Linked DNA regions of Xenopus tropicalis. The protein of the gene in region 1 binds, or shares a complex with, the protein of each later gene. Links are inferred from orthologs where the notes say so. Each region holds a gene or a part of one and is shown in the gene's direction. Other genes may lie near its edges.

Region 1 (15,224 bases):
TAGGGGCCCACTCACTATATACTGTATATATACACTATAAATGTCACAGTATAACCTGAGCTTAGGGGCCCACTCACTATATACTCTATATATACAATATAAATGTCACAGTATAACCTGAGCTTATGGATCCACTCACTATATACTGTATATATACACTATAAATGTCACAGTATAACCTGAGCTTAGGGACCCACTCACTATATACTGTATATATACAATATAAATGTCACAGTATAACCTGAGCTTAGGGGCCCACTCACTATATACTGTATATATACAATATAAATGTCACAGTATAACCTGAGCTTAGGGGCCCACTCAATATATACTGTATATATACAATATAAATGTCACAGTATAACCTGAGCTTAGGGGCCCACTCACTATATACTGTATATACACAATATAAATGTCACAATATAACCTGAGCTTAGGGGCCCACTCACTATATACTGTATATATACACTATAAATGTCACAGTATAACCTGAGCTTAGGGGCCCACTCACTATATACTGTATATATACACTATAAATGTCACAATATAACCTGAGCTTAGGGACCCACTCACTATATACTGTATATATACAATATAAATGTCACAGTATAACCTGAGCTTAGGGACCCACTCACTATATACTGTATATATACAATATAAATGTCACAATATAACCTGAGCTTAGGGACCCACTCCCTGATGTCAGCCCATCAAAAACTTTGAAGGCCTGGATTATAACAGTTATAGGGTATACAGTAAGTTCAGTATATGAAATACAGTATTTCTATCCAGATTCATTGTAAGGCTTTAGTTCTCCCTTAGTTAAAAAAAACCCTGCAAGTTGTGTGCATGGGCTTGATCTCTTTGGTTAGCCAGTGAACCTGTGTATATGCCCATAGGCTGTCCAAGTTTGGCCTACAATGGTCTTGGATAAATGGTTCTATTCTCTGCTTTAGTTGTTTGTTTCCTTTTCTGGCAATAAATAAACACTTGTGCCCTACAGCCCCCGCCCGACACAGAGATTCCAAAGGAAGAAAAGGACAAGTACCAGGAAGAATTTGACAACTTCCAACAAGAGCTGGATAAGAGGAAAGAGGAGTTTCAGAAGGATCACCCCGAGGCAGCGGAGCAACCAGGCAAGTGCACTCAGACTCCAGTGGGGGGCGTGATGCGGTATCTCCAGTGTTTCTGCTCCCCACAATAAATCCGTGTATGTAACTGCTTATCCGCTCTTTAGCTCATATTGCCAGCCATACTACTTACATTGTAATATTATAGGAAAGAGGATTAATGGCTTTCCAGAATAGCTTCCTCAGATATTTCCCACGTGCATATTGCTCCTGAAGGATTAGATATTAAAGTGGTGACTGACAGAATGCTTCTAAACAAGCAGAGGAAAAACGGATGTTCAAATATGCACCTTTGGGAAGAGAATTGGAGGCCCATTTATCAACATTCTCATTTTAGCGGTTTTTTGAAACCACAACTCATTTTCTCTAAAACCTCAAATGTCTAATTGAAAAAGCATAAATTAATAAACATACTTTTGGTTTTTGTGCAAATCTTTATGGATTCAAAACCTCTAAAACCACAAATTAATAAAGATTGCTACAATTGGCTCCCATTGGCTTCTACATGACCTTGAAAGCTTATAGATGGCGAATTTAGTTGTTTTAGTTTATTCATATGTTATTAATTGTGCATCTTTTACACTATGGCCCAAATATACATTTAGTATAAGCACCGGAAATCAACTTTGCGATTGTCTTCCTTTATTTATAGTTTTTGATTTATTAGCATTCCGCTTCTGCCTCATTTTAGCCGAATGATATGATATCTGGTGGTCAAGGGGTCGCTGACCCCATCAATCAAAAATCTTAACGTTTATTGGTAACAAAACAAATTTAACAAAAGCTGACATTTCTTAAGAAATAGAGTCATATTCCATTGTTGGAAGGAACCCTAATATTAATGGTAATTACCCTGGAAGTTAGGTCAGCGCTATGAATGCGGAGTTATAAACGAATAAAATAAATACTGTATATATTTGAGTATAAAGTTCTGTTACAAACTGTCCGTAAGCAATTCATTTCTGTAGTAAAGATGTTGTGCAGCCAACTGGTGTATACGGGATTAGCTAATGGGCTGATGATCATCGGCATACTAAGGGGCATATTTATTGTAGTGTGTAAGCCAATATCCACCGGTGATGTTGCCCATAGCAGCCAATCAAATCTTTGCTAACTTGTTCAAATCTAATTGCTGATTGGTTGCTATGGGCAACATTACCGGTGGATGTTGGCTTACACACTAAATATGCCCCTTAGTACACCAGTAACCGTAGGGGTACCAGGCAGTTGGCACACAGATGGCTGTACATTATAAAGTAATGGTTTCTCTGTGCAGTGGATGACATGTATGAGTCTGTAAACGACCGCGAGCTCCGACAAATCTTCGAGGGTCAGAACCGCATTCATCTAGAAATAAAGCAGCTCAACAGGCAGTTGGACATGATCCTCGACGAGCAGAGAAGATATGTGACAGCGGTCACCGATGAGATTGCCAAGAGAGGTGCCGGAGATGGAGCCGGAACAGGCGGCCCTGGTCATCAGCAACAGGTTGGGCAAGAGTTAAATGTCTCCAGTCATAGGGCAAGCTGGGTGGCCAGACTGTCATAAATGATCTGTTTATTTTACTGGGCGTCTTTAAGGTATTATCAAATAGGCCACCTAAACAATACCTTACTCAAGGGTAATCCTATTAATTGGCCTGGGGTTGTGATTCCTTAACAAAATGATCGCAACAGCAGAGGCAGTGAAGTTGCATGTATCCAATGAGCAAGCTTACTGCGCCCTCTGGATCTTGTGGCCTATAAGTCCCAGTATCCTTAGTGCAGGGGCAGGCAATTGGGCGCCTGTAACCTGTAAAAGTCAGTATTATAGATTCTGCTACAGTTCGTCCACAACCACCACTACATTTTCTTTACTCAACATATATTCCACTCATAGAGATTTGTTAACGTAGATGTTAAACTGGACCAGTGCAGTTCCACATAGAAACCAATCAGAAATTCATTTTGAGGAGTCTGTTACCAACTAGCTAGTTAAATCAAGGATCTGATTTGCTGCTGGGGACACTAATGCTACTTATCACCTATAGCTTGCCGAACACAGTAAGATCTGCCCATTTGGCAAGGTTATGGTCTGATTTGGCCTCCTACATTCTGGGGCAAATGGGCTAATCTGATATTTGCCCCTGGGCAAATGATTCGTTTTTCACAGAGGCCTATGCAGGCTTGTGGGGAGAGGACAGTATCAGTGTGCCAATAAGATTTTCAAGCCTGGCTTGTCTGAGAGGAAGTCGGGGAGGGCCCATAGAAGCTGCTAGCTTATTCTGAAGGGCCACATTTGCATCTTAATGCACATCAGCCACACAGTGTAGTTTTTCATATTCTGTCCTTTTTTTTTTAACTAAATGTGAAAAAATGGCTGCCTGATTACTGTTGCTCAGTCCCAGCGGTACTTGCACTAACTGCCACCTTTTGTCTTCCCCACTGAAGTTTGCACCTGCGGACCTGCAGTTCCTGCTCAGCACTCAGAGGGAAGTCTTACAGCAGATGGCGGATATGAGGTAACCAGAATACAGCAGTTTATATTTCTCTTATTCTCTGGGTAAACAATACAGTTTCTATATATGCATTGCTATTGGTCCGATGTCAGCCGAGGTAAAGGAATTTTGTGCTGCGGTTGTGTTGTTCTCTAGGGTAGTAGAATAAATCAGGGAGATGTAAGTCAATCTGCAATATGTGTTGCGGGGAAACAATTTGCAGTCAGCTGATGCCGTAAAGCTGGGAATTGAAAATGAACACCATAGGGAGTGATAGTGATAGGGAGCGCTCATTGTTTGGTATAAAGTGAGTCTACAGGGGGCATATGGCTCATCCATTCACAGTCACTGCAGCCCCAAGCTATTCCCACTGCACTTAATTACCCGGACGTTGCAGTTGCAGCGGTTGTGAGGGAATGGGGCGGGCTAGCCGGTGTGTCCATGCAACATCACTACTGATGTCGCAGAAAGGTTGCGATTAAAAAACCTGTGCGACTTGTTGTCCATCTCACTACCTAATGCATGGGCCGATGTCCAGGGAACTACGATTTTTATTAGTAACAGGGAAGCGCGGTGTGGAAAATGTTCACAGCAGTGATCATAAGCAACTGTCCTAGCCATCACACTCCATGTGGCTTCTCCCATAGGGCCACCTTGGTCTGAATTTTCATACTTTAGACTTTCATGGGGGTAATTTAAAAGGAACAAAAATATAAAAATGTATGTAGTATTTACACACAGACACTCGGGTGCTTAGCCCAGCCCATTTAATTAACCCTAACCATGCAAATCTGCCCCTTGGGATGTGGGTTCATGTGACCCCCTTATCCAGACATGCAGAAATCTTGTGCATGGGGGAAATCAGCAGAGTAGATCAGCGTAGGCATGCGGCCTGACCAATTAGATTAGCCGAAATTGGGCTCATGGTTATTCAAGGTCTTGAATGTAGACAAGTTCAAAGTTTAACCACTGTGTTACATCTACATATTATATAGTATCAGACGTGAGCAACCTGGTAACAGCCAAATATTGGGGAGGGTGCCCAGTAGGGATGCAACAAATCCAGGATTCGGTTTGGGATTCAGCCAAGATTCTGCCTTTTTCAGCAGGATTCAGATTCAGCCAAATCCATGCTGCTGGCCGAACTGAATCCCAAATCTTAAAATCAAGTGACTTTTGTCACATAAACATGGAAGTTGAAAATTTTTCGCTGCACAGCTCTCTTTAACCCTTCTGTATCCTAATTGTAAGCTCTTTTGGGCAGGGCCCTCTTTACCTCTTGTATCGGTTATTGATTGCTTTATATGTTACTCTATATGTCCAATGTATGAAACCCACTTATTGTACAGCGCTGCGGGATATGTTGGCGCTTTATAAATAAATGTTAATAATAATAATAGATTCATATAGAGTGTAAGCTCTTTTGGGCAGGGCTCTCTTCACCTCTTGTATCGGTTATTGATTGCTTTATATGTTACTCTATATGTCCAATGTATGAAACCCACTTATTGTACAGCGCTGCGGGATATGTTGGCGCTTTATAAATAAATGTTAATAATAATAATAATAATATATATATATATATTAGGATTTGGTTCCGTATTCAGCTGAATCCAAACATAATGCATTTGATGCATCCCTAGTGCCCAGGCCAGTTATACATTGTCTCATTACTGCACTCAATTTGTTGCCCTTAATTTGCTTTGCAGAATACTGAATATAAGCCAAATATTATACAGAAAGGTACATAATATACATTATATGCAATAGATGTACAGTTTGGGCACTCGCAGCTTCTGTATTGTGCCGTGGCCTATATAGGTCAGCTGTCTCCGAAAGATTATCTTTACTTTTGTTTCCCAGGGAATCCTTGGCATTAATATTCTTCACAAATCTTTATTCCTAAGGAAGCCAAATTAGATTTACCAGTTCAAGTCTCTCTTATTTAATATTGGTGATGCGCTTACACGACTCCCCTAATATGTTTCGGGCGGATTAAAGAAGTATTTGGGAGTGGCGCTTAGCAGGAAATTCCTAATGAGTCTTTGGGTTGCTCATATTTACATGTCCATCATCTTATTTTGCCCAGAAACAGCAGTCGTTTTCCTATTTTTTTTTTTTTTTTTTTTTTTTGCAGATTTATGGATTTTTGTCTTAATCTGATTACAGACTGGCCGGTCAGATATGTCAGTTAAGATTTAATAATCATTGATTATGTCTTCTATGCTTTGCTTAAAGATTTGGGATTTGGGAGAAATAGTAAAGTCTGTTGCCAATTTAAGTGCGGCTCTAGCTTTATTATCATTCCATTGTTCTTTTTGTTTTTTGTGAGATCAGAAGGGATTGCCTATACCTTAATACTGGGGAGGAAAATATCATCTGAAGGGCACTGAAACAACCGAGCAGCTTAGGGCAAGCAAAGGCATTCTTTTAGGGGGCTGCATTGGGGTGCTCTCCAAACAGGCAGTTATGGGGTGTTGGTTATGGACTTGTGTCTCTGCTTCCCCTGTCTAAAATCTGAGTGTCCAAAGCACTTGGAACAATGCACTCTTATGTTCTGTTAGGGTTGGGGGAACCCTAACCCTTGGTTTTTCTATGGCCTGTTCAGTTCTCTCCGGGACTGAAGTCCTAACAAACAAAGCCTCTAGGACCGCCAACCCCCCAGAGGTCAGTTATATAAATGGGACACCCCTATGTTTTGTTCTGGTTCATCAATGCGCGCTGTAAGTTTGCTGAAGTTTCTCTAGGTCCCCTGTCAGGATGCACCAGATCTGGTTTAGGATTTGGCCAAAGCTCAGATTTGACCCGACCCTTAGGGTTCACATTCAGTTTGACGGAACACGTATGGGCGTATTTATCAAATCTCCAAATAAACTTGCATTTAAAGGAGAAGGAAAGGTACAGGTACCTTCCCATTGCTCAATGTCTTTGGTGCTTCGGACACTTGCCTGCGCCGCCGATTTCCCAATGCTGCTGAAGTGTCAAGTACAAAAACTCCAGGGTTTATTTTTCATAGTGTCTTTTGCCAGAAGTAGAAAAGGGATTAAAATCCACATGATGATAAAGATTCTCGTTACAGACCTTAATCTTCTTTGCAAAGGGAAAATAAACCCCACTCGCAGGGACGACCACAGGACGAATGTTCCCAGCATATTGATTAAGGAGCACAGTTGATCCCTTATATGAGCACTTTACAGATCTCTGCAAAAGGCCCATGGCCTAAGGGTTTTAATTTGATTTTTTTTTATTGTAATGACAACAGCGAGGGCGCGTGTCCCGGCCGTACATATGGGAGATGAGTTTCTGTTATGTTCTATGTAATCTTGAACCTTAGCCCTAAATCTTTCCTTATCCTTAAGCCTCTTCATGTCTTGCAAAACTGTATTAATTTCTTTTGGAAAAAGCTCAGAATATCTGAACATGCCATTCATTCTGATGGAGAGGGCAAAATATGTCTGCAGGGAAGTGAATACAGGGCAGTCAGGGAGTTTGGGGCCAAATGGCTATATTGTTAGCAGTAGGAGCTCAGTGCTTGCTGGCTGAACCAGTGGTAGTAAAGGGCAAGTTTGCCAGTATTGTTGATAATGAATAATATAGATTGGAAGCTCTTTTGGGCTGGGCTCTCTTCACCTCTTGTATCGGTTATTGATTGCTTTATATGTTACTCTGTATTTCCAATGTATGTAACCCACTTATTGTACAGCGCTGCGGGATATGTTGGCACTTTATAAATAAATGTTAATAATAATAATATTTTAGGTTTTGTTGCCTTAGACTGTTCCTGATGGTCGGTATAATCCATTTATTATTTTGTTGCCATTTAGGAGCTCTATAAGCGAGACTGTGCGGCACGTTAGCGGAAATAAGCACCTAGGCACGGGGGGTTATGAGTCGACGCAGCACTTCAACGATATCAAGGAGCATCTCCACGTCGTAAAGAGGGACATTGAGCATCTGGTGCAGAAGAGCTTGGTAACGTTCGACACTCCGTCTGTCATTTCTAGTAGTATCTGTGTAGCCACGGGGGCAGCCATACAAGCTGGGAAAAAGGAGGAAAGGAACAGGTTACATAGCAGGTAGCACATTAACTCTGTAAAACACCATTATATTCTACAGAGTTTATCTGTTCGCTATTACGTAGGCATTTTGCCCTATGTCAGCTCGAATGGCTGCCCCCGTGGCTACACAGCAGCTTTGGTTATGTAAACTATAGTAGGATTTCTGAAGCAAACACATGGAGGGGAACAGCATATTATATTATAATTACTTTAATACATTAAAGTATTCAGTGGCCACACACTGTTCCAGATCGGCCCATGCTTCGCTATGTTGTCCCAGTCTGGATCAGATATCATAATCTGTGTCATGGCTGTGACATTTTTTTGTGAATATGTTGTAGCCATGACATTTTCAACAACTTTTTTTCCCACTAGATGTCTTGGGAATATGTCACTACATATTTTGGATTATGTCAGTACAGAGAATTTTTTTTTGCATATGTTCAGTGTCTTTTACAACTGAGAAGGCAGTGCAATTTGCTGTATTTTTGCATTTTGCACCCTGCCATCCTATTTACTTGAGTTGCCACAGGTCATTCTTGAGCACAAAGGCCTGCAACTGCCCCCATGAATACAGGGCTGCCTGTGGTTGGTAACATTGTATTCATGAAGGGAGGGAAGGAGGCACCATGTAGGTTGCCAGGCCCCCTAATTTGTGTTATTCAGATGTACAAGTTGACAATCAGCCACAACAGGCTCTTGTATATTATACCTGCCCTATGGTCTGTGCCATCACTGCTCTGATAAATCCAGTGCTAGGTGCAGAGCACAGCCAGGCCCTGGGCAGAAGTCCTCTCTGTACTAACGGGCACTTTTTGTTTTTTTTTCTCCAGCCACATGAGGTACAGAAGTGTCCAGAAGTGCCTCCATTTCCCTCCTGTTTAACCACAACCCACTTCTTTATATTTGTGGCTATACAGACAGTGTTATTCCTTGGCTACATTATGTACAGGTAAGTACATTTCACCTGAAAGCAAACCTCAAAAAACATATTTGAATTAAACTTTTAGTTAACTTTTCAATTGGTCTTCATTATTTGTTATCCTTTTTGAATTATTTGCCTCCTTCTTCCTTTGACTCTTCACAGCTTTCAAATGGAGATCATTGACCCCAGCAGCCAAAAAAGTATTACTCTTTGGGACTACAGTTTTATACATTTTCTGTTTAGATCCTCTCCTATAAATATATCCGTTTCTCATTCAAACCACTCCCTGGTTGCTAAGGTCATTTGGACCCTAGCAACCAGATAGCTGTTGAAACTCCAAACTCAAAAATGAACGACCCCTTCAGGGGTTCTGATGGGCAGGGCTAGGGGTCCCCTAGATGGCTGATACATGGTACCTGTAGGTGGATGAGGGGGCTTTCAGTGAATAGTGGGCTCTACGGCCAATGTATCCCCCCCCCCCAGGAACATGGCAGAGATATTTCCACTCGCTGACATTTCTATCCCTTTGTGTCTGGCAGGAGTCAGCAGGAAGCAGCCGCCAAGAAGTTCTTTTGATGACGCATTTGCGAGGTCTACGTCCGTCCGTCAGGATGCGCCAAGCGTACGTTTGTACACGAGGAACTTTTTTTTTTAGTAACGAGATGCTTCATTAGATTAAATTATTGAATTCTTGTGGAACAAAATGAACTTATTGTTTATTAGTCTCCGGCAATCGAAATTGGGCACAAAATGAAAACTTTTTTTTTTTTTTTAAACAAAACTTTTTAAACCCTTGTCCATTAAAGAGGCTCCATTTGTTTATTTTTATGAATTACCTGTGTAAAAATCTTCCTCAGGGCCACCAATTTATTTTTTTTTGTGGATTTTAAAGGGGAACTAAAGCTCTGAAACGCCTTTACTTCTATAGCTTAATTTATACCAGCTTCTATGCCACTTTGTATGAACAGCAACCCTATGCCAGCCACCCTCAGTATCAGCCAACAATATGTATAAACAATAATACCCTGCGGCCAAGGGCCTTGCCCCAGCTAAGTAACCAATAGGAGCAGTTATTTCAGGCAATTCAAGATCTGGGCATAGGGGTTTCTGTATAACCATAGGCCATTTTCCACTGACTAATGGGAAGCCCCATGAGTGGGCTTTTAGGGGAAGCTCACAGCTTCAGCCAATCAGAAGCCCCCCTTATGCTGTAATTCTACTCTACAAGCGTAATTTCCCTGTACTGATCTAGTTTAATTGAATAAAAAGTATTTTGCAGCTTAGAGAAGAAATGTTTTAGGGAAAAAATGTTATTTTTTATTATTAGTGCGGATAATTGGGGAAAGGATCAGAAATAAGCTTATGAGCATAGCTGTCCAACAGGGACGCAGGAGCAGCGACTTCCGGCTAAAGCGATACCGACACTTTAGGAAGGTGACACTGACGTCTTCCTGTAAAAAAAATAAATACTGTGGGAGGCGTCGCTGTCTGTTTAAATGTGGTGCAAATGTGAATCAGCCTCACCATCACAGTGGATCATTTTGTTGTGCAAAATAGGGATATTTGCCTCAAAGAGGTGATGCGAGAGAATGTTAGATGTAGGACAGACTGGCGCCACTTGGGCGACTGGCTGCCCCTTCCGGATGGTGACAATATTTGGAGGGCCCCCAGTTTCTCATCTGTGGCCCAAATAGAAACAAGACCACTACTGTCTTTATATATATATATATATATATATATATGATGTATGTATGATCGTTTCTACTCCTGAAATGCAATGTATCACCGTTTGTATGTGCATCGGCCTCCGCAGTCGTAATGTTGCCATAAACACCTTTGTGTTATATAAGCTGTGATCTTTTTTTAGTTTATCCTTAATATCTGATCATTCATATCTATGAGCCAAATTGTAACCTTGACTACGTTCCTGCTCAGCAGCCGCACTTTCCTTCCTGTCAATCATGTGACCTGCAGCAGTCTTTCCAACACTTGGATGTTGCTTTGTGGCAAAGAATCTCCCTCTCCATACCTTTGCTCAGAGTAGAAGGGACTGTACCAGAAACACTTCTTTAAGACCAAATAAAGTCACATCAGAGAGTGGAACAGGTAAAAGCTGCTTGATTTTATGAAATAGTTCAGCAAACAATATTATATTGATATCTCCGTCTGATGTTTAACTCCTTATGGTACTCAGTGTTGTTAAATTAGCCCTCATTATGTTTTGGGCCACTGAGCATGTGCAGTGCCACTGACACAAAGGAAGGCCACACAAGACTCAAGATGGGGAGCTCCAATGGACGGCTCTGAAGGCCTGGATCATTACAGTTTTAGGACTGTCTGCACCGTGGGCTGGTACAGTGAGGTCTGTTTATGGAATACAGTATTTCTAGCCAGAGTCATTATTAGGCTTTAGTTCTCCTTTAAGGAACACTGTTTTACCCGGATGTTCTGTTCTGTTACCAAAAGTGTTGTTATTGATGTTTGCTGCCTTAATTACACATTGTCCCATACCAGATGGTGCTTCTGTATTTTGTTTTCTGTAACGAGACCCCATTGGCTCATACAGTGCTTCGGTAAACACCATTTGGTCTAGAACCTTGTGGTTCCGTGACCTTATTACACGGGCCATTCTTTCCTCTCACGTTGCTACTTTTGTGCCACTTGTATAAACATTTACTGAGGATTTACCCGCTAACGGGGAAGCTCCTAATCTGATCTGCCCCGAATTAAAGGCAAAGCTCCTAATCTGATTTTGCCAGAATTAAAGGGAAAGTGTAATTAAATATTTGTATCTTTTTCTAAGTGCCTTATGAAGCTCCTCCTTATTTTACCCCTCGCGGCTTGAAGTCTAAAATGCTACTTGTACCAAAATGCCAATTCTCTGCTTGGTTTCTACAGCAGCCTGAGAGCTGCCCCTGTTCCCAACCGGAAGAACATACAGTTGTATCACTGGGCTCGGTTTCAATATGTGTGTCTTCTATTTGCCCTTCTACCACTGGGATGTGGGCAGGCCTTAACTGAATTAAGAAGAAAATGGGTGATGGTGACCTGACAGTCTAAAGCACAAACTCTGAGGGTACAGTGGCCTTTTACTGAGTCTCAGACTGCGCTGCCTCCCTACATATTGCAGCCAGCCAATCAAGGTGGGAGGAAGCTGTACTGGTACATAAGCACGGTCAGGCTGCAGGTGTTTTGTGACTTGCTGCCAGTATGGGTTGGGGGGTCTGGTACCCCTGGCCCCCACTGCAGCCATAGTTTACCCCCATTAGTTACACCACCCACATGTCAAACCAAAAAAATAATTTTTTGCCTAAAAAGAAAATATAATTCTAAGCAACTTTCCAGTATGAATATTTGTAAATGTAATTGCTATTGAAACTGTCTGTCTCCTCCGGCGAATCAAGTTTGTCTCCTCCGGCGAATCAAGTCTGTCTGTCTCCTCCGGCGAGTCAGGTCTGTCTGTCTCCTCCGGCGAGTCAGGTCTGTCTGTCTCCTCCGGCGAGTCAGGTCTGTCTGTCTGTCTCCTCCGGCGAGTCAGGTCTGTCTGTCTCCTCCGGCGAGTCAGGTCTGTCTGTCTGTCTCCTCCGGCGAGTCAGGTCTGTCTGTCTCCTCCGGCGAGTCAGGTCTGTCTGTCTCCTCCGGCGAGTCAGGTCTGTCTGTCTCCTCCGGCGAGTCAGGTCTGTCTGTCTCCTCCGGCGAGTCAGGTCTGTCTGTCTCCTCCGGCGAGTCAGGTCTGTCTGTCTCCTCCGGCGAGTCAGGTCCGCCTGTCTCCTCCGGCGAGTCAGGTCCGCCTGTCTCCTCCGGCGAGTCAGGTCCGCCTGTCTCCTCCGGCGAGTCAGGTCCGCCTGTCTCCTCCGGCGAGTCAGGTCCGCCTGTCTCCTCCGGCGAGTCAGGTCCGCCTGTCTCCTCCGGCGAGTCAGGTCCGCCTGTCTCCTCCGGCGAGTCAGGTCCGCCTGTCTCCTCCGGCGAGTCAGGTCCGCCTGTCTCCTCCGGCGAGTCAGGTCCGTCTTGTCTCCTCCGGCGAGTCAGGTCCGTCTTGTCTGTCTCCTCCGGCGAGTCAGGTCCGTCTTGTCTGTCTCCTCCGGCGAGTCAGGTCCGTCTTGTCTGTCTGTCTGTCGAGTCAGGTCTGTCTGTCTGTCTGTCGAGTCAGGTCTGTCTGTCTGTCTGTCGAGTCAGGTCTGTCTGTCTGTCTGTCGAGTCAGGTCTGTCTGTCTGTCGAGTCAGGTCTGTCTGTCTGTCTGTCTGTCGAGTCAGGTCTGTCTGTCTGTCTGTCTCTTCCAGCGAGGCAGGTCTGTCTGTCTGTCTCCTCCGGCGAGGGAGGTCTGTCTGTCTCTTCCAGCGAGGCAGGTCTGTCAGGCTGCTGCCTTGTGTTACATTATTTCATATGCCAGAGCCCCCAGGGCAGGGAATAGAAAGGACAGGCAGACACTGTGTTTAATAGCAATTATATATACAAATAAGTAAAAAAAAATATTGTAAAGTTGCTTAGAATTATGTTTTCTTTTATTAGGCAAAAAATTATATTTTTGGATTGACTTGTCCTTTTTAACATAGCATAGCTTTACTTACTAAATGTTTGTGCATCAGTTCTGCACCCTAAAGGTATAGACACATGGAGCTACTTAGTAGCAGCTTCTTGTCACGGCAACTAAGCGCCAGAAAATCCCTTGCCATAGACAATACTGAGAATTGCCTCTGGTAAACACACGTAGAGACAATTATCAGTAAATGATCAGCATTGTCTGTTTCTGTAGCCGTGACAAGTAGCTGCTACTAGTAGCTCTGTGTGTCTTTCCCCCAACCCTATGCTTCCATTTGCTCCTGTTTGTTTGCACCCTAATATACAGATATTGACATATGGCAACAACCCCTGTCAGTTAGTCATTCCCTTCATTTTGTCTGACTATCAGGTTCCTTTGCTGCCTCGTTACATTCATTTCCCACATCAAAATACTGGCAGTGGGACATGTTTGCACAGTTATTGCTGATACATTTTCTTGTTTATCTCCATCTCTGTATTTACTGTTTTACCGAAACGGCACGGTTCTGAGGAATGAATACTGTCATTTTTACATACAAATTACATAATTAAAATAATGCTGCTGAAAGCTTGGGGTTACGTCTCCTACAGAATGTCCTTTTGCGTTTGATTGTCAATAAAATCTGTTGTCCTTTGTCTCAGCTCTGAGTTACTCTCCCTTCTGTAATGGAAGGAAAGGGACGGCGCGTACACCCCTGTACAGATACATAGCACCCCCGGCTAATGTACACTCCGAGTTACTCTCTTACTATCCCTGATTCTATTGGAAGGAAAGGGACGGCGCTTACACCCATGTACAGATACATAGCACCCCCAGCTAATGTACACTCCGAGTTACTCTCTTACTATCCCTGATTCTAATCAGTATTGGAAGGAAAGGGACGGCGCTTACACCCCTGTACAGATACATAGCACCCCCAGCTAATGTACACTCCGAGTTACTCTCTTACTATCCCTGATTCTATTGGAAGGAAAGGGACAGCGCTTATACCCCTGTACAGATACATAGCACCCCCGGCTAATGTACACTCTGCGTTACTCTCTTACTATCCCTGATTCTATTGGAAGGAAAGGGACGGCGCTTATACCCCTGTACAGATACATAGCACCCCCGGCTAATGTACACTCTGTGTTACTCTCTTACTATCCCTGATTCTATTGGAAGGAAAGGGACGGCGCTTACACCCATGTACAGATACATAGCACCCCCGGCTAATGTACACTCTGCGTTACTCTCTTACTATCCCTGATTCTATTGGAAGGAAAGGGACGGCGCTTATACCCCTGTACAGATACATAGCACCCCCGGCTAATGTACACTCTGTGTTACTCTCTTACTATCCCTGATTCTATTGGAAGGAAAGGGACGGCGCTTACACCCATGCACAGATACATAGCACCCCCGGCTAATGTACACTCTGTGTTACTCTCTTACTATCCCAGATTCTATTGGAAGGAAAGGGACGGCGCTTACACCCCTGTACAGATACATAGCACCCCCAGCTAATGTACACACACTTTTCTAGAATATAGAAGAATCTAATGAGAAAAGAACTTCTATTGGCCGGTTTCGCTGTGCTGCCATGGAAATGTAGAATTTGGTGACCCATTGTGGTGCTTTTATTGTCTGTAAATACTTCCCATAGCAAGGCATGGCCACTGGCTCCAATGCTCTCTATAAGGGGTCAAATAACACTTGGTTGATCTTCTGCTGATATACCCACCTATGGGTGGGCGCTATCGGGCTAATTCAATTGTTTGCCCCTAGGGCATAGGCGCTGCCGGTTTGGGAGCGACATCAAACCTGCCTCATTGAGATCTGGTCGATTTTAGGTCCGATAATTTTAGGCCAGATATCAGTCGGGCAGGCCCCTCGTTTCTGCCCATACAGGGGCCGATAGTAGCTGCCGATATTGGTCACTTGGACCGATTCGGCAGCTTATCGGCCCGTGTAGGGGCAGAAACGAGGGGCCTGCCTGACTAATATCTGGCCTTAGTTTACATGTCCGTGATCTAAAATATAATAAATGAGGCTTCAAGCTACAACAGTAACTGATCTGTATAGTGTGGGCATCTCAAGATATACATCAATGTG
Region 2 (16,711 bases), on another chromosome or scaffold:
GGAGCAAACACCACTAATTGGGTTGGCAGTCTGAGCATTCTAAAGCTGGCCATACACGCACCGATAATATCGTACGAAACCTCGTTTCGTGCGATATTCGGTGCGTGTATGGCATGTCGGTGAGTCGACCGGTATCACAGGAAGCTGCTGAAATCGGTCGACTCGCCGATCGGCCAGGTTAGAAAATTTTGATTGGGCACCATAGAAGGCGCCTGACCAAAATCTGCCGTCGGCTGAATCAGCAGAAGGAGGTAGAAATCCTATTGTTTCTACCTCCTTATCTGCTGTTTCAGCCCTGAACGGTGTGTGGCGGATCTGACGATGTTTGGTGCGACCAATGGGTATCCTTCTGTTGGGCAGTTGGAGCTACAATAAATCAGAGTTTAAACCTACTTGAGAAAATCACAAGCGGGTTAAGCAGGATCACTAGAGTAGTCATGCCGACAATCAATATTGCTAATAATGCTATCATTATGTTATTTTCATGAATCTTGGTTTTCCAGACATTTTAAATCCACTTGAGACATTTTTTGAGCAATTTCAAAGGGAAAAAGTCATATTTGAAAATATCAATCTACATACCTAGATAGTGATCGGGCCGGATGAAATATCAAGTGATGGCTACATTGATGCATTTTTCCAGAAGGGTTTGCACAGGCCCCCCATTTGGTTATCTGGCAACATTGCCAGACTGCTGAATCAACTACCCATGTATTACCAGATTAAGATTGTCTATGCCAATATAATGACAGCATTCTGCGTAGAAATTTATAACGATGTTTTAGTCCCTCCTCCCCTGCCAGGATTTTAAACTATACAGAAAGAGATGAACTGTTTTGCAGCTGGATTTCAGCATATAAAATGGTATTTATTCATACTTTTTGAAGAAGCAGATTACAGTGATAGGAATATTAGGGGTTTCTGTGTTGCTCTTTAACAAATTTTGATTTGGAAGCTGGAGTTTCCCTTCAAATCAATTTTCCTATACTATGGAATCACACATGAATTACTTCAGCCAAATTCCATGTTTTTCTTTACAGAACAGTTTTAATGTCATCCGATAACAAAGGTTGTGTTTGTTTTGTATCTCTCAGTTTTAAAGGGTCACGGTGAATTAATAATTAGCCGCTCCGGGTTTACAACATTGTGTTCTACGGGTCACACAAACACACTCATCAGTCCTGCTCTTATTTGGTGGTGGTTTCCTTAGATATCTGTAGATATATGGGCAGATGAATTATAAAATAAAAGAAATGGAAATTCCTATTATAGGTACAATGATTTTCTCGGACTGGAACAAGGCAGTGGACAAGGGCTTATCCCTCCTGTCCTATGTTCTATGCAACAGACCTTCAGTTCACAGTGGGGTCCGAAGGAGAGGGGGCCTGGACCAGTTAGTACATGCACCCCTCCCCCTCTGCCCACACTGACTATCCTACCAGCACCCATGCATCATGACCCAATGCAGCTGGGGGCCCTGAAAAACACCTTAAACCACTATTTATAAACACAGATCAGGGGAATATATTTACATATATGTATGAAGAGGAGCTGCAATACTGATTGCTTTGCAAAGGAATTCTTCATAGATTTCCAGCGATTCTGCCATCACACAATTATTAACACAAAGGCCAATACTCAAGCATAAATAGCATTTCCTGTCACATTATAGAATCATCTTCCACTGTTATACATTCAGTACTTGAGTTTTTCAGCTGACACCCTTATTTATACCCCCAATGGGGGCAAATCAAGGGACATAGTCAATGTGTAATGGGGTCTTGAATTTAAGCATGTTATGGGGCAAGTACCACACAAACTTAGTTCCTAGTACAACATAGTTTGATTTATTTGTAGACATTGATCATCAATGTGTATTTAGAATCCTTGCCATAAAGCAGTGATCCCCAACCAGTGGCTCGGGGGCAACATGTTGCTCACCAACCCTTTTGATGTTGCTCCCAGTGGCCTCAAAGTAGGTGCCATTTTTAAATCTTTGGCTTGGAGGCAATTTTTGGAATCCCAGAGACACAGTTTTACCCCAAGCAGAGCCTCCTACAGGCTAGCAGTCCTCATTGGACAACCAAATAGCCAATCACAGCCCTTATTTGGCATTACCAAATAACTCTTTTTATGCTTATGTGGCTCCCTGCATGTGGATCACAAGTAAAAAAAAAGGTTGGCGATCCCTGCCATAAAGCAAGACAGGACTTCTAGTTTTTTCACATGAGTACCAGTAATCAGATTTAGGGTAAAAAAATGTGATTATTTAGGCAAATATCAACACTTTCTATTTCAACAACTATAACCCTTTCACTAAACTGTAATCTTTTTTTTTTTAAGGGGAATGTATCATTCTATGGAGGCTTATCGGATGACCTCTGTAATATGGTAGCTTTCAATCAGGTGTAAATGTAAACATAAAACTAATTCATCTATAACCTTTAAATGTTTCCAGTAGGAGAAGTCGATTCTGTATGGACTACGAGAAAACCTTTAGGAGCTGCCCTGCTATAGAGACTTCCATTAAGAGTGAGTACGTGAAGATTAAAGACAAAGGTCTGGCTGAGACAGATCAAAGCTGCAGGATTGTTGGGCAAATGCCAAGGCTCAGTTCGTTTGTTCATATTCATTTGTCTAAATGTTTCTGGACTGTGTCTTGGGTCAACTCAAGAACCCTTGTTGGTAGGACGCCATCTGTATTCCTACTATACAAAGACATCAAAAGGCTGCGCTCTATAAACTGAGCAGACGGATATCAGACATTTTGCCTTCTCAGTACGTCCTGTTACAGATGGATCATTCTGTGTTCCAATAACCAGCACTTGAAGTCCGTGTGTTTATTTTAAGTAACAAACTAAAAGGGAAACTACACCCCAAAAAAAGAAATGATGTCCAATGAAAGTAAATATAATTCTAAGCAACTTTCCAATATATATTCAGTACAAAGGTTCAGTGTTTTTTAAAGTTATTTGTAAACGTGATAGCTATTGAAAGTAGTGCCAGTTTATTCCTTTCTTTATTCTGGTTCTAACTAAAGTCATAAAGACATAATCCAGACCCACAACCCGGACCCACAATGCACATTTTTGCCCACTTTGACCCCTGAGCCGCAACTGCCAACCCATTCCACAACCCACTGACCACCATCAAACAGAAAGTTTTAAAAAAATGTAGAAGTAGAATATAGATAATATAGGAGGTTTAAAACATAAATATGGAAAAGATCCATGACCCACATCTATACCCGAAACTGAAAATCCAACCATGCTTTTCTTGTGGGTAACCCGTGGGTACCCCCCCTGCTGCAGGCCTTTAGTTCTAACTCTAGAAACAGTATACTGGAGTCCATTCACCTCCAGGTATGTTAGTAACAAAGGTGTTTGTAAAGTTATTGTTATTGAATTGCATTCTCTACACTCATCGCTCCTCAAACAATGTAGCAAGAAATCAGCTAATTAACAGACGTGGGGGTGAACTGACTCCCGTTACAGTCAGGCCCAGAGAAAAGAAAGGGACAGATAGATTCTGATTCCAGTAGCAATTACATTTACAACCACTGAAAATGCCTAAGGATCGGATAGAAGTAAGTTGCTTAGAATGACTTTTTCTTTCGTTATGCAGAAAAAAATATGGGTAAGGAGAAGCCTTTATTTGATTTTTGAGAGATGTTTATATTACTGCACATACCGACGGTGGAAAGCAGCGGCAGCCTCTGAATGGACAATGGTGACATCATACTGAACAGGGACACCCCCAAACCCTGGTGTGGTTCCTGCCACAGTAGTCACTGCTCTTAGTTTTTTAGCATTCTCTGGAACTCAGAGGTGATGTCTAATATACCCATTAAAGTGTAAAATTTTAAATGGACAAAATTAAAAAAATTTCAATATAGTTAATTAAGCAAAAATGTAATCTATAAAGGCTGGAGTGGGCATATGTCTAACATAATAGCCAGAACTCTACTGCCTCCTTTACAGCTCTCTAAGCTGTTAGCAGTCAGTAGCCAATCAGTGATTTTAGGGGGGGCACACGGGACATAACTGCTCAGTTAGTTTGCATTTGAATCTGACCTGCACGCTCACAAACTAACTGAACAGTTATGTCCCATGTGGCCCCCCCTAAAGTCACTGACTAACAAGAGGTTAGAGAGCTGTAAAGGAGGAAGTAGTGTTCTGGCCATTATGTTAGACATATGCCCATTCCAACCTTTATAGATTACATTTTTGCCTAACTAACTATATTGCAAACATTTTTCATTTTGTGCAGTCTGTCCAATTTAGCCAGTTTCATTTTTACACTGAACTGTTCCTTTATATGTTACACAGAATAGTTATGTTACAATGGCCCAGTCACACAACCTCCCTAAGCACTGATTATTACTTACGACATCACTGAGCGCTGTTCATAAGGATATATTTTAGTCTGTTCATAAGGATATATTTTTAGTCCCAACACTTGCATACCCCCCAACTGTCCCGCTTTTCACGGGACAGTCCCGCTTTTTATGGCGCATCCCGCTGTCCCGGATAGTTCCATGAATGTCCCGCATTGCGGGACATACATGGAACTATCCGGCACAGCGGGATGCTCTTGCTGGAGCCGGATGTTCATGCTTCTTCTGCGGCTTCGTTATGCCTCTCCTTGTGCAGCGCGACAGGCCCTTTTATAAGGTTGCGCCTGTGGGTGTGACGTCATTACGCATGGGGCGCAACCTTATAAAAGGGCCTGTCGCGCTGCACAAGGAGAGGCATAACGAAGCCGCAGACGAAGGCGTAGCGCCTATGGGAGGTACTGTGTATGGGGGGATACTGTGTATAGGGGGCACTGTGTATGGGGGACACTGTGTATGTATTGGGGGGTACTGTGTATTAGGGGCTACTGTGTATAGGGGCACTGTGTATTGGGGGCTACTGTGTATAGGGGGCACTGTGTATGGGGGCTACTGTGTATGGGGGGCTACTGTGTATGGGGGGCTACTGTGTATGGGGGGCTACTGTGTATTGGGGCACTGTGTATTGGGGGCTACTGTGTATGGGGGGGGCAAAACTGGTACTTAGTTATAACTCACTTATAACTGACTGCCTTCTCTCTATATTTGTATTTTAATGTAGGAGTTGCTGTATTGTTTTCCTTAGGTCGTTCAGTATGAGGGTATAGCACATTATTGTCTGCTCCCGCCATTTGATGTATAAAAGGAGTATTTTTTTTAATGGGGTGTGGTAATTGGGGCGTGGCCACAAAAGGGGGCGTGGCCAAAAGTTATACACTATACTAGTAGCATATACTGCAGCTGATATATACTAGTATTTTTACTAGTATTTGCTACATATACTAACTCTATAACTGCCAAGCACCACACGATACATATATGTAGACAGTAAATATCCCCCCCTCCTATGCCCCTTAACATGTGCCAGTCTGTTACTATTTGCAGTTTGTTAGTGCAGACTATAAATAGAAAAGACATCTAAATACATAAAATAAAGGGCTTTATCTACAGTATGTAAGTGTGCTTGTTAAGCCATGGCGAGGCTTTCTTATTTACACCCTGAAGATGAAATAACGTGAAAGATGGAAACACTGACATATCTATTATTGTACAGTGCCACTCAGCATTAGATTCCAGGCTGCGCAGGCGCACACACTCAAGCATACACTGAAGGCATTAACGATAGAGCGCCGAGTGACAACTCTTTGCCAGGTAAACGTTTATCGCTCACTCCAACTCTGTTCTCCATTGGTTCGGCCTGCAGAGTGGGCCACGGCTTGAAAGAACGCTAAGAGGGGCGGGGCTTGTATTGGAGCCGGCTGAGCTGTATACTTCGGAGGAGCTGAGTGAGCAGGAGAGCGGCTGGGACGGTGAGTGAGAGTGGGGCATATCGTTATGTATACACTGCTGGCTCTGTCTGTGCTCAGTCAGACCCACCAGCATTTGTAATCGATTCTTTCTGCACTTAGGGACTTCCTTCTCCCATAAGCCTTTGCAGCGTGTCCTGGCAAACTACAATTCCCAAACAGCTTGATAGGGGATTCTGGGAGATGTATTACAGTGTTCTATTGGGGTTACTATAAACCTTTGTCCCTTGTGCTGCTCCAGAGTCTTTTGGGGAATGCTGGGAACTCTGTTCCTATGTGCAACAACCGGTATGTAGAACTGTCAATGAGTTGGGGGGGGGTGAAGAGTAAATGACTATAATCCTTGGGGGGGGGGGGGGGAGTAAATGACTATAATCCTTGGGGGGTGAAGAGTAAATGACTATAATCCTTGGGGGGAGGAGTAAATGACTATAATCCTTGGGGGGTGAAGAGTAAATGACTATAATCCTTCGGGGGTGAAGAGTAAAGGACTATAATCCTTGGGGGGTGAAGAGTACATCACTATAATCCTTGGGGGGTGAAGAGTAAATCACTATAATCCTTGGGGGGTGAAGAGTAAATCACTATAATCCTTGGGGGGTGAAGAGTAAATCACTATAATCCTTGGGGGGTGAAGAGTAAATCACTATAATCCTTGGGGGGTGAAGAGTAAATCACTATAATCCTTGGGGGGGGGGAGAGTAAATCACTATAATCCTTGGGGGGGGGGAGAGTAAATCACTATAATCCTTGGGGGGGGGGAGAGTAAATCACTATAATCCTTGGGGGGGGGAGAGTAAATCACTATAATCCTTGGGGGGAGAGTAAATCACTATAATCCTTGGGGGGGGGGGTGGAGTAAATCACTATAATCCTTGGGGGGGGGGGGGGGTGGAGTAAATCACTATAATCCTTGGGGGGGGGTGGAGTAAATCACTATAATCCTTGGGGGGGGGGTGGAGTAAATCACTATAATCCTTGGGGGGGGGTGGAGTAAATCACTATAATCCTTGGGGGGGGGTGGAGTAAATCACTATAATCCTTGGGGGGGGGGAGAGTAAATTACTATAATCCTTGGGGGGTGGGAGAGTAAATTACTATAATCCTTGGGGGGGGGAGAGTAAATCACTCTAATCCTTGGGGGGGGGGGGGGAAGAATAAATCCCTATAATCCTTGGGGGGGGGGGGGGAGAGTAAATTACTATAATCCTTGGGGGGTGAAGAGTAAATTACTATAATCTCTCAGTGTTTTCTTTTTATGCTTTCAAATCTCCCCAGAGACATGAAGTTGTGTCCATGCACAGTCTCTCTCCTGCTCTGTAGTGTGCCTGGGGGGTGGAGCTCCCAGTGGCCAATAACAAATGAGCTTCCACCCCTGAAACCCTTCATGTATTTCATTATAAATATACAATCTGTTGACTCCAGAGACCTAAAACTTCCAGCGACAAAATTGCCCTAAACGCTGGGACTTACCGCTACGGTCAGTTTTGTGCTATGACCAATGCATCGTGACTGTTTCATGAGTCGTATGCTGCCCGGCTATGAGTTTGATATTTAGCACTATTTTGGCTACATGTATAAACATATATTTTCTCTTTGGTGATAGTTGTTATCCTTATACTGTAATTAGCCTGGCTCATGTGTGTTTGTGGGGTTACGCCTCTCCTCGAGGCACAGTACGTCGGCGTGTGTGGCAATAACAAATTTGACTCCATTTTGTTCCTCCTTTACTTTGCCTGTGCATGCACACTGAGGAGCTATATACTCCTATATCTGCACTCTGTGTCTCTGCACTTTAGTGCCAAATTCTAGTCTGGCCCAGCACTGTAGGGTAACTTGTTAGCTCAAACAAACAACTTAACAGATGACTTCAAGAATGGGTGTCGTTCATGTAACAATAGCAATATTCAATACTTACCAGGGATCTCCACCCAAAAACTTTTACCCAATGAAAGAAAATATTATTCTAAGCAGCACTTTGCAACGTAAAGTAATCTCTGTATATTCCTTTCTGAGCTCCGGTTCCGACTCCTGAGGCAATGTAACTGGATTCTTCTCCAGGTCTGTTAATCAAGCTGGCTTCTCATACATTGTTTTAAAGCAGTGAACCCCAACCAGTGGCTCGGGGGCACCATGTTGCTCACCAACCCCTTGGGTGTTGCTCTCAGTGCCCCCAAACCAGGGAGTTATTTTTAAATTCCTGACTTGGGGGCAAGTTTTGGTTGAATAAAAACAAGATTTCCTACCAAATAAAGCCCCTGTAAGCTGATAGTGTGCATAGAGGCTGCCTAATAGCCAATCACAGCCCTTATTTGGCTCCTCCATGAACTTTTATGGTGCTTGTGTTGCTCCCCAAGTCTTTTTACATTTGACTGTGGCTCACGAGTAAGAAAGGTTGGGGATCCCTGTTTTAAAGGAATACTGTCATGGGAAAACATGTTTTTTTTTCAAAACCCCTCAGTTAATAAAGCTTCTCCAGTAGCCGATCAGCAGAACAATGGGAAGGGAGCAAGATAGCAGCTCCCAGTAGGTATCAGAATAGCACTCAATAGTAAGAAATCCAAGTCCGGCTTGGGACTCCTCCAGTTACATGGGAGTAGGAGAAACAATAGGTTAGCTGAAAGCAGTTCTAATTGGCAGAAATGGGCTCCCCTGCTTTAAACAAAAAGTTTGTTGAAGAATTACATTTTGACACATTGGCCTAGGTTGCTCTCTGCACTGAGATTTTATATCTGCGTTTTTGTATTTATGTACGTAGCAATGCCATCATGGTATTCACACCCAAAAACTGCATTGTAACATGAAACACTGGGAACACTGGTAGAATACTTGGGATTTACAGAGCAATAATGTGCACAAAGAACCCCCTGCAGTCTGTAATTACGCACACAGTAGTACAATTATTGCTTTCTAAATCCATAACTGGCTATTGTATTGTAAGGTTACAAAGTATACACTGCTGTTAGTATTTTTTACTATAACTGTGAATTGAATGTAGAAATCGGGGAGGGTATACCCCAACGGCAGGTAGTTACAACCAGATCTTCCCCTTGCTGGATAACACATTATGTCTGCTAATGAGTTGGGAATCATTAGCTAAAACAAATTTAGCAGCTTATTCTGTAGCTGGCGCTGGCGCTTCCCCAATGCAAATGTTTATTGTTTGACTCTAAGGTTAAGCTATGTTTTACACAGCTTGTGTAACCTGCCATATGACTTGTCTAGTTACCCCCAGGTGATTGCAGCACAGACTGGCATTGTAAGATGACTGTAGTAATAATAATAAATTGGCTGATTACATCTGCCCTCTGCCCCTGCACGTCTACTTGAACTGTAACTCTAAGGAGAGTTTCTGGGACTTGTAGTTCAATGACTATCAGCTGGAACAAGTTTCCATTGCTATTGAAAGCGACCTGTGTCTGTTTATATTTTCTGCACTATTAGTTCTCGCTCATGAAAAAATGTAGCAGAAGGCAACTGACTAGTATATCTGGAGGAGCAATGACTTAGCAACTGCTATAGCAACTATCAGAGTGAGCGAACAGAAAGGGATGATTGGGCAGCGCGTTTGGTGTTTGTACTGAGTGACACACTCACAGTCAGTGAATCCACAGATACAGTTCTAATTATAACTCTCTGTTCTAGTAACAATTTCTATATCTGATATTTAAAGGGGAAGTTTCCTCTTAAGTTTAGTATGTCAGCTAGACTTCTTTCTTGTTTTTTTTACTTATCAGCCCTCCTATTCTCCCTCTTTCCATACTGCAGATTCTATCTAGGTCACTGACCCAGCAGCAATAAGTAAATAAATAACTGTTCAACTTTATTTTTGTTGTTTTTCTTATTTTCATAATCTTTCTCTCCTTTCCATATTCATTTCTGACTTCCATGCTACTGCCTGGTTGTTAGAGTAATTAACAGGGCTGTGGAGTCGGAATTCCGACTCTCTGACTTGAGCTCCTTAGATTATGGCACCTCCGTTTCCAACTCCAGGTACCCAAAATTGCTTCCAACTCATAAATCCTACCCAACAGCCTTGGCAGGGCTACGGAGTCCATACATAAATCCTTTGACTCCGATTCCTCTGTTTATGGTACCTCCGATGCCCCAGCTCTGGTAATTAAGCCCTAGCAAGCAGACCGCATTTAACCTTTTATGCATCACTCAATTAGTATGAGTGTTGCCTAAACAAGTAAAAAAAAAAAAGAAGACTAACATCTATATGTGATAAACGTATTCCCATGTGCAGTGCCCATAGAAACCAATAACATCAGCTTTTAAACAGTACCCCAGTAAATGTTACCATGTGATTTGTGGTTCTTACAGATGATTTTACAATTTACACTTTTTCCCATTTTAATATATTAGCAGTTTTACACTACTGATACCTTTATTCTGACATTACAAAGGGGGCGTGCCAAGCATGAGTATCAGTAAGCATCTCAACGTCAGTAGTTGTGCTGGGGTGGGGGGTCAAGGTGGGACTGGCAGTGAATACATTCTACCACCTGCCCATGCTTCTTGGGGCAATTGGTCAAACTGAACCTGCCCAACCCATGGGTAAACTCAAGCATAAGTAGTACATATTATGCCCTTCTATATTGTTGTATGTGTTCTGAGGATGGCAGCTCTGGTTACTATCAGGCCTGGACTGGCATTCAAAATAGGTCCTGGCATTTCAAGTACACAGAGGCCCAAATAGCCCCCCCAGCCCAATAAATAGTGACTGTCTATGGCATCGTACAGCAGCCCCTCTGGCATTTGCCAGAACCCACAGATTGCCCGTCTGGACCTGGTTACGATAGTTATGAACATTCAGCAACTGGAATGTCATCCAATCATAAGCCCAGCTTATCCAAAAACGAGACCTGCGCAATTTCTCTTTACACCATTTTTCTGTAGGGCCTTTTTTATTAGCAGCTTTAGGAGATTTGCTCATCTGAGCATCAATGGCCGCTCCCATTCATTTAAGTCAACACGAATATATAAAGTGATCATAAACATTCTTGGGTTCGATTTCAGGGTACTGTGAGTGTGGTTTGTAGGATCTTCTTGTGCACATTTTTAATGATGATAAAAAAACAATTCCTTTACATTATTAAACATTGTTTTAAGATTATTGAAGGTGACAGAGTGAGTCAGCAACAGTGGTGAAGGGTGGGCATTGCCTACTGAGGTCTTTGTAGTAACTGTGCTGATTGTTGTTGTACTTGTCTTTATTACAGAAGCCTGAGCACCATGGCTGCCCAGAGAGCCAGTACGTCATCTCTTCTATGCTGCCTGGTTGTGTCTGCCTTGTTATTCATGTCAGCAGTAGCTGAGGACCATGTACACCCCCATGTAGAAGAGGGGAACCATGGGGCTCGCTTTGGAAAGAGCGTAGTGCAAGACAAAGAGTAAGTATCGCTCTACTAAACATTTAGGAAGGTTCATGGATCATATATCTTCCCCTGCAAACAGAATGCCCACGGGCTGCTTACATATTGTATTATAGCACTGACATACTTGTAGCTGAACTACAACTAGTTTGCTAGTAGTGATCGCTTCAGTAATCCAATGCAATGCAAAGGGCTTTCCAACGGTGACTTCTGTTGTTGCCGGTGGAAAGCCTTTTTGGATTGATTACTCGCCCACGATAGCAGAGATCTGTCGCGGGCAAGTAAGTCACTCCGTGGGTTCTTATCCTAAAGATAGCGAATGGGGTATTATATTTATAATATATTATGTTTTATTATATTTAGATTGTAAGCTCTATGGGGCAGGGACCTCCATCCTCTTGTCTCTTTGATTCTTAACTTATTGCGAATGTACCTTGTATTTATTGTTATACTTTTTATTTATCTATTATTATTTTATTAACCCCCTGTTTGTATTAATCTATTCTACTGTACAGCGCTGCGTACATAAGTAGTGCTTTATAAATAAAGATATACATACATACATGTAGTAATATGAAGAGAGATTGTCCCAGCTCACAGTAGGGTTAAAGTATTAGCACTGCTGCATTCACCCTATTATAGTTAATAGGGAAAACAGATAACTATTATTTTCCAAATCCCATGGCTTTCGGGGTGGTTCCCTTTATTGGCTTCTTTATGTCCTTCTAGTGCAGGGCTTTCCAACTGGTGTCCTACCACCATTAATGGGAGGTCTTAAATGCTATTGTGATAACATGGGTGTGGTTTGAAGTGGGTGCAGTTTTTAAAAAAAGGGGAGTGGTCAAAACTGGTTCAATTATCAACCCTCCACCATGTAGGCCAGAAAAATTCCGGCCCTCAATACCACAGAAGTTGGACAGCACTGTTCTAGTGGATGGGGCCCTCAACAGCCTGGGGCCTTGGCTGCTGCAAAAAGTGGAGCAGTTTTGTAGAGGTTTGGTGCAGGTTAGAGTGCAGAGGGGGCATGATCGGGTGGGTAGATGGTGTGCCACAATTTTTGAAGACAACCCTATTTCTTGGCAGTGTTTGTTTAGCTGCTTTTGAGACTGCTTCATTTGATTCTCTGTACTCTTCTGCACTCTGCAGCCACATCATGGACCATTTAGATGGAGTCATTGAGAAACCAGAGGCAGAAATGTCACCCCAAGAGCTGCAGCTTCATTACTTCAAGATGCACGACTATGATGGCAATAACCTACTGGATGGGCTGGAGTTGGCAACTGCAATTTCCCATGTACATAAGGTGAGTATGCCGTAACGCTCTAATGGCATTATACATTAGATATTCTGGCTGAGCCATTAGGAAAGATTACTTTTCTGTTCTTTAAAATTTAAATCTAAAAACCAAAGATGCCATCTGTGTTACTGAATTATACAATATATATTCATTTGTGTTTTTGTGGTCATTGCTTTAAAGGAGAAGGAAAGGTATGATACTGGGGGTGCCAAAAAGTTAGGTACTCCCCATTGATTGTAACCACTTACCTGATGGTGCACCTGTTAGCAGAAAACCGCTCCGGTCTGGGTTACCTGTGAGCGAGCGATCCTCTTCCACTTATGCATGTTCCATAGCATGAAAAGCCAAACCTTTTCTTCTCTTATTAGTGCCAATAAAAAGAAATCTGATATACACTCTATGGGCAAACTGTGCCTAGAAGCAAAGTCAGTACAAGAACTATTTGGGACATAGGGAGTTTGGAGTTTAATGGTTGACTTTCCAAGAAAGGCAGCACTGGCATTCTTCCCTTCTGTCCATTCATGAACCTTATGTCACTGCCTAGCAGCCAATAAGATAAGCCCTTCTAAGTGAGGGGATGTGGTCTGAGTATTCTCAGTAGCAAAGAACACCAGCACTGATCAAACAGGAAGCTCATATCCACTGAGATATCAGCCAGAGATTTACAAATGGTGAATATACCCTTTAAGGCTACAACATACAATGGCACTGGTGACAATTCCATTCTGTCACAAAGCAAGGTGGTACAGAATGGGTTTGCTGAGATGGCTGACCTCAGCCCAACTGAACCCCAGTTTAAAGGAACTGGATTGCCAGCTGTGAGCAAGACCTGATTGGTGGAAGCAAACCCTACCAAAAATGTTCCAACATCTAATGGAAGCCTTCACAGAAGAGTAGAGGCTGTTATTGCAGCAAAGTGAGGAACAGCTTCATATTAATATCTTTGGTTTGGAAATAAGATGTTGGTCAGGCAGGTGTCTTTTGGCTTGTATTTTTGGTTTTAATAGGCACTACTTGGTTTATTTATTCAGTACAATTAAGTGCCTCTCTGTCTATTTGTTGAGTGTACCAGGAGATTTAAAGCTTGGGTGTTTATCTGGTGACTGTGTCACATTACTCTACCGTAGGTAATTCTGGGCTTAGATATCTAATGAATCTGAGCTCCTTAAACCCTTTTTCCTGCTTGTAGGTTTCTCACTAATATCCTTCCTGGGTACCTGTAGGTTCTCCTAAATGTTTCGGTTACACATTTCTGTTTCTCTTTTGGATACTTGGATGCTAGAGGGTTTATCCCTCAAGTCTAAAACTACATTTCAGCTTCCTGTAATACTTTGATGAGTGCTTCATTGTCGGCTTTAACACTGAAATCCATAACAGTTATGTGAATACATTGCCCCAAAGCCCAGCCCTTAATATAACATCACTAATAATACACTGTGTTTTTCAGTCTACCGAAGAACCAACTCAGGCGATGAAGGAGGAAGATCTAATCAGTTTAATCGACGACGTTTTAAGGGATGATGATAAAAATAATGATGGCTATATTGACTATGCTGAGTTTGCCAGATCACTGGAATAGAAACTGTGAATTTCGCTTTTTGTTTTTGTATCAAATGTGAGTTTGTCCGTACCACTGCTGTCCATATGGGCTTCAGTCATTTAGATGTGTCGGCATTCAGCATCTACTGTATATGTTTAATGTATGTTTGTTTGCTGAATGCCAAGTGACAAGGTAAATGTTTATTTTTGTGTTATATTTTGTGATATTTATGTATAATGCCATGCAAGTCCCCCCAACCCCTCCCACCTGGCTCCTATAGGGCCTGCTTGGCACCTCATTATTTTTTAAACATTTTTCCCTTCCATTGGGGCTATAGGCATAAACTTCAAATCCAAAATACAATACCTAAAAGGAACTATATATATTTATTTTAAATGCTCAATTCATAGCCATTATTAGTGTAATAGCTTTAGGAGCTGATTAAAAAAAAGGCACTGACTATACACAAGTAACATTATAATGAATATTTCACTTTTATGATATACAAGTTCATATTTGTTCCATTAGTTCTACTGCACTGTAACAATTGTAAGGAATTTTCAGCTTTGTTCAGGGATATCATTTATATAATATATATACCTGTGTATATATATATATATATATATATATATATATATATATCATTTTCACCCCCTTCAAAATATAATTTTGACCTGCATAAATGCAACCTGCAAGTACAGGTATGGGACCCATTATCCAGAATGCTTGGGACCTGGAGTTTTATTATGTCTACTAAAAAATTTAAACATTAAATAAACCCAGTAGGATTGTTTTGCTTCCAATAAGGATTAATTGTATTAGTTGGTATCAAGTACAGGTACTGTTTTATTATTACAGAGAAAAGGGAATCATTTAACCATTAAATAAACCCAATAGGGCTGTTCTGCCCCAATAAGGGGTAATTATATCTTAGTTGGGATCAAGTACAGGTACTGTTTTATTATTACAGAGAAAAGGGAATCATTTAACCATTAAATAAACCCAATAGGGCTGTTCTGCCCCCAATAAGGATTAATTATATCTTAGTTGGGATCAAGTACAGGTACTGTTTTATTATTACAGAGAAAAGGGAATCATTTAACCTTTAAATAAACCCAATAGGGCTGTTCTGCCCCCAATAAGGGGTAATTATATCTTAGTTGGGATCAAGTACAGGTACTGTTTTATTATTACAGAGAAAAGGGAATCATTTAACCATTAAATAAACCCAATAGGGCTGTTTTGCCCCCAATAGGGGGTAATTATATCTTAGTTGGGATCAAGTACAGGTACTGTTTTATTATTACAGAGAAAAGGGAATCATTTAACCATTAAATAAACCCAATAGGACTGTTCTGCCCCCAATAGGGGGTAATTATATCTTAGTTGGGATCAAGTTCAAGCTACAGTTTTATTATTACAGAGAAAAAGGAAATCATTTTTAAAAATTAGAATTATATGCTTATAATGGAGTCTATGGGTGATGGCCTTCCTGTAATTTGGAACTTTCTGGATAATGGGTTTCCGGATAACGGATCCCATACCTGTACCTTCAATGTGTCACTAAACCCCTTTTGGATTTTATTTTATCCTTATGGTCAGAGGGAATTTTATTCAATATAAATTTTCAACTTTCTTTCTAGGGAGAACCCGACACAAAAGGACCCCCCCACCTATGAATGTTTACACACAGTCATCCCAAAGGTCTTAAAAGGGAAATGCCATTACTGTAAAAAAAAAGCCCCAGTCTTAGTGGCAAAGATCTGTTATTTGCAAAGTAATACAATTAGGATTTACTGCTGGATTGAGACACTAATGAATTAGTTTTATTGCCACCTATAACGGCTGTATTGTAGCAGGAGGGGTCCTCTGGTGTCTTGTTCCAGACTTTGTAGTTTCTATTTAGGGAAGGTTCTGTTTCCTGCCCCATTGTTCTCAGTATTATATTGACGGATTTACATGATCTTCTATTAAAGGGCCACTAAAACGAAAATACCAGTTGCTCCTAAAAAAATGTAAGAAAGGACTAAAGGGGTCATTTATGATTAGCGGGACAGGTGCAGAGTGCAACAATATGGGAACACTATGCACCCTACCTCATGGCAGTTGCCTATGAGCCGAGGTATTTGTTCTCCAGAATGGAGTGCTTCGCTTTCTACGTGACTACAGTACTGTATTTATGGGAGGTACATAGGTGTCCTAGTGCCATGTTGCCTAACACTTGTGCCATATGCCTGGCAGAACATAAGAACACCGTAGGCCAGAGCGCAAACTGGTATTCAGTTGCTCTAGGGTTTGAGTAGCCCATGGGCAGTTGTATGTTATAGGATTTGGCCACACAGGCAGCAGTGTCAGAACTAGGGGTAGGCAGAAGAGGCACCTTTCTGGCGCACAATGAGGGGGGTTGCTAAGCAGGTACCTCTGTTGTCCTTTCTGGAGCTTGCCATATCACACAGACCCCCCCCTGGGAGGATGAGGGTGAGGTGGCTGGCCAGGTTGCCTAGGGCACCCTAGGCAATCTGGCTGGCTTGGCAGGTGGAGAGAAGCGGGAAATAGGGGTAGGCAGAAGATACATATGCCTAGGGCCCAGTAGTGGGGGGGGCCCAGGTATTGTACCTCTTCTTTAACCCACCCCTA

Evidence for each region.
Region 2: the proteins of lman1 (region 1) and mcfd2 are in contact, whole or in part, in a cryo-EM structure (PDB 8JP5), measured with the Homo sapiens proteins. The link is inferred for Xenopus tropicalis from reciprocal best matches to the Homo sapiens genes LMAN1 and MCFD2. Residues at the interface, in NP_005561.1 of Homo sapiens: His43, Arg44, Arg45, Phe46, Tyr48, Lys49, Ser51, Phe52, Lys53, Pro55, His56, Gln59, Ser60, Asp61, Val64, Pro65, Phe66, Trp67, Lys96, Phe265, Glu273, Lys279, Glu280, Ile281, Glu285, Lys286, Tyr289, Glu292, Phe293, Phe296; in NP_001164977.1 of Homo sapiens: Val59, Ile60, Asn61, Lys62, Gln70, Glu71, Leu74, His75, Phe77, Lys78, Tyr82, Asp83, Asn86, Asp89, Gly90, Leu91, Glu92, Thr95, Thr98, His99, Val100, Leu111, Glu114, Leu117, Ile118, Ile121, Asp122, Leu125, Asp129, Lys130.

Annotation. Positions count from the first base shown.
Region 1 is NC_030677.2:201,342,288-201,357,511, forward strand, and holds the end of lman1 (protein ERGIC-53 precursor), read left to right. Parts: intron 1-1,003; coding exon 1,004-1,136; intron 1,137-2,406; coding exon 2,407-2,618; intron 2,619-3,559; coding exon 3,560-3,630; intron 3,631-7,430; coding exon 7,431-7,578; intron 7,579-8,497; coding exon 8,498-8,616; intron 8,617-9,128; coding exon 9,129-9,165; 3' UTR 9,166-12,086; downstream 12,087-15,224. UniProt on the Homo sapiens protein: Mannose-specific lectin. May recognize sugar residues of glycoproteins, glycolipids, or glycosylphosphatidyl inositol anchors and may be involved in the sorting or recycling of proteins, lipids, or both.
Region 2 is NC_030681.2:20,172,355-20,189,065, reverse strand, and holds the start of mcfd2 (multiple coagulation factor deficiency protein 2 precursor), read left to right. Parts: upstream 1-5,788; 5' UTR 5,789-5,862; intron 5,863-6,118; exon of another isoform or gene 6,119-6,133; coding exon of another isoform or gene 6,134-6,147; intron 6,148-11,084; coding exon of another isoform or gene 11,085-11,097; coding exon 11,098-11,255; intron 11,256-12,383; coding exon 12,384-12,540; intron 12,541-13,981; coding exon 13,982-14,113; 3' UTR 14,114-16,711. UniProt on the Homo sapiens protein: The MCFD2-LMAN1 complex forms a specific cargo receptor for the ER-to-Golgi transport of selected proteins. Plays a role in the secretion of coagulation factors.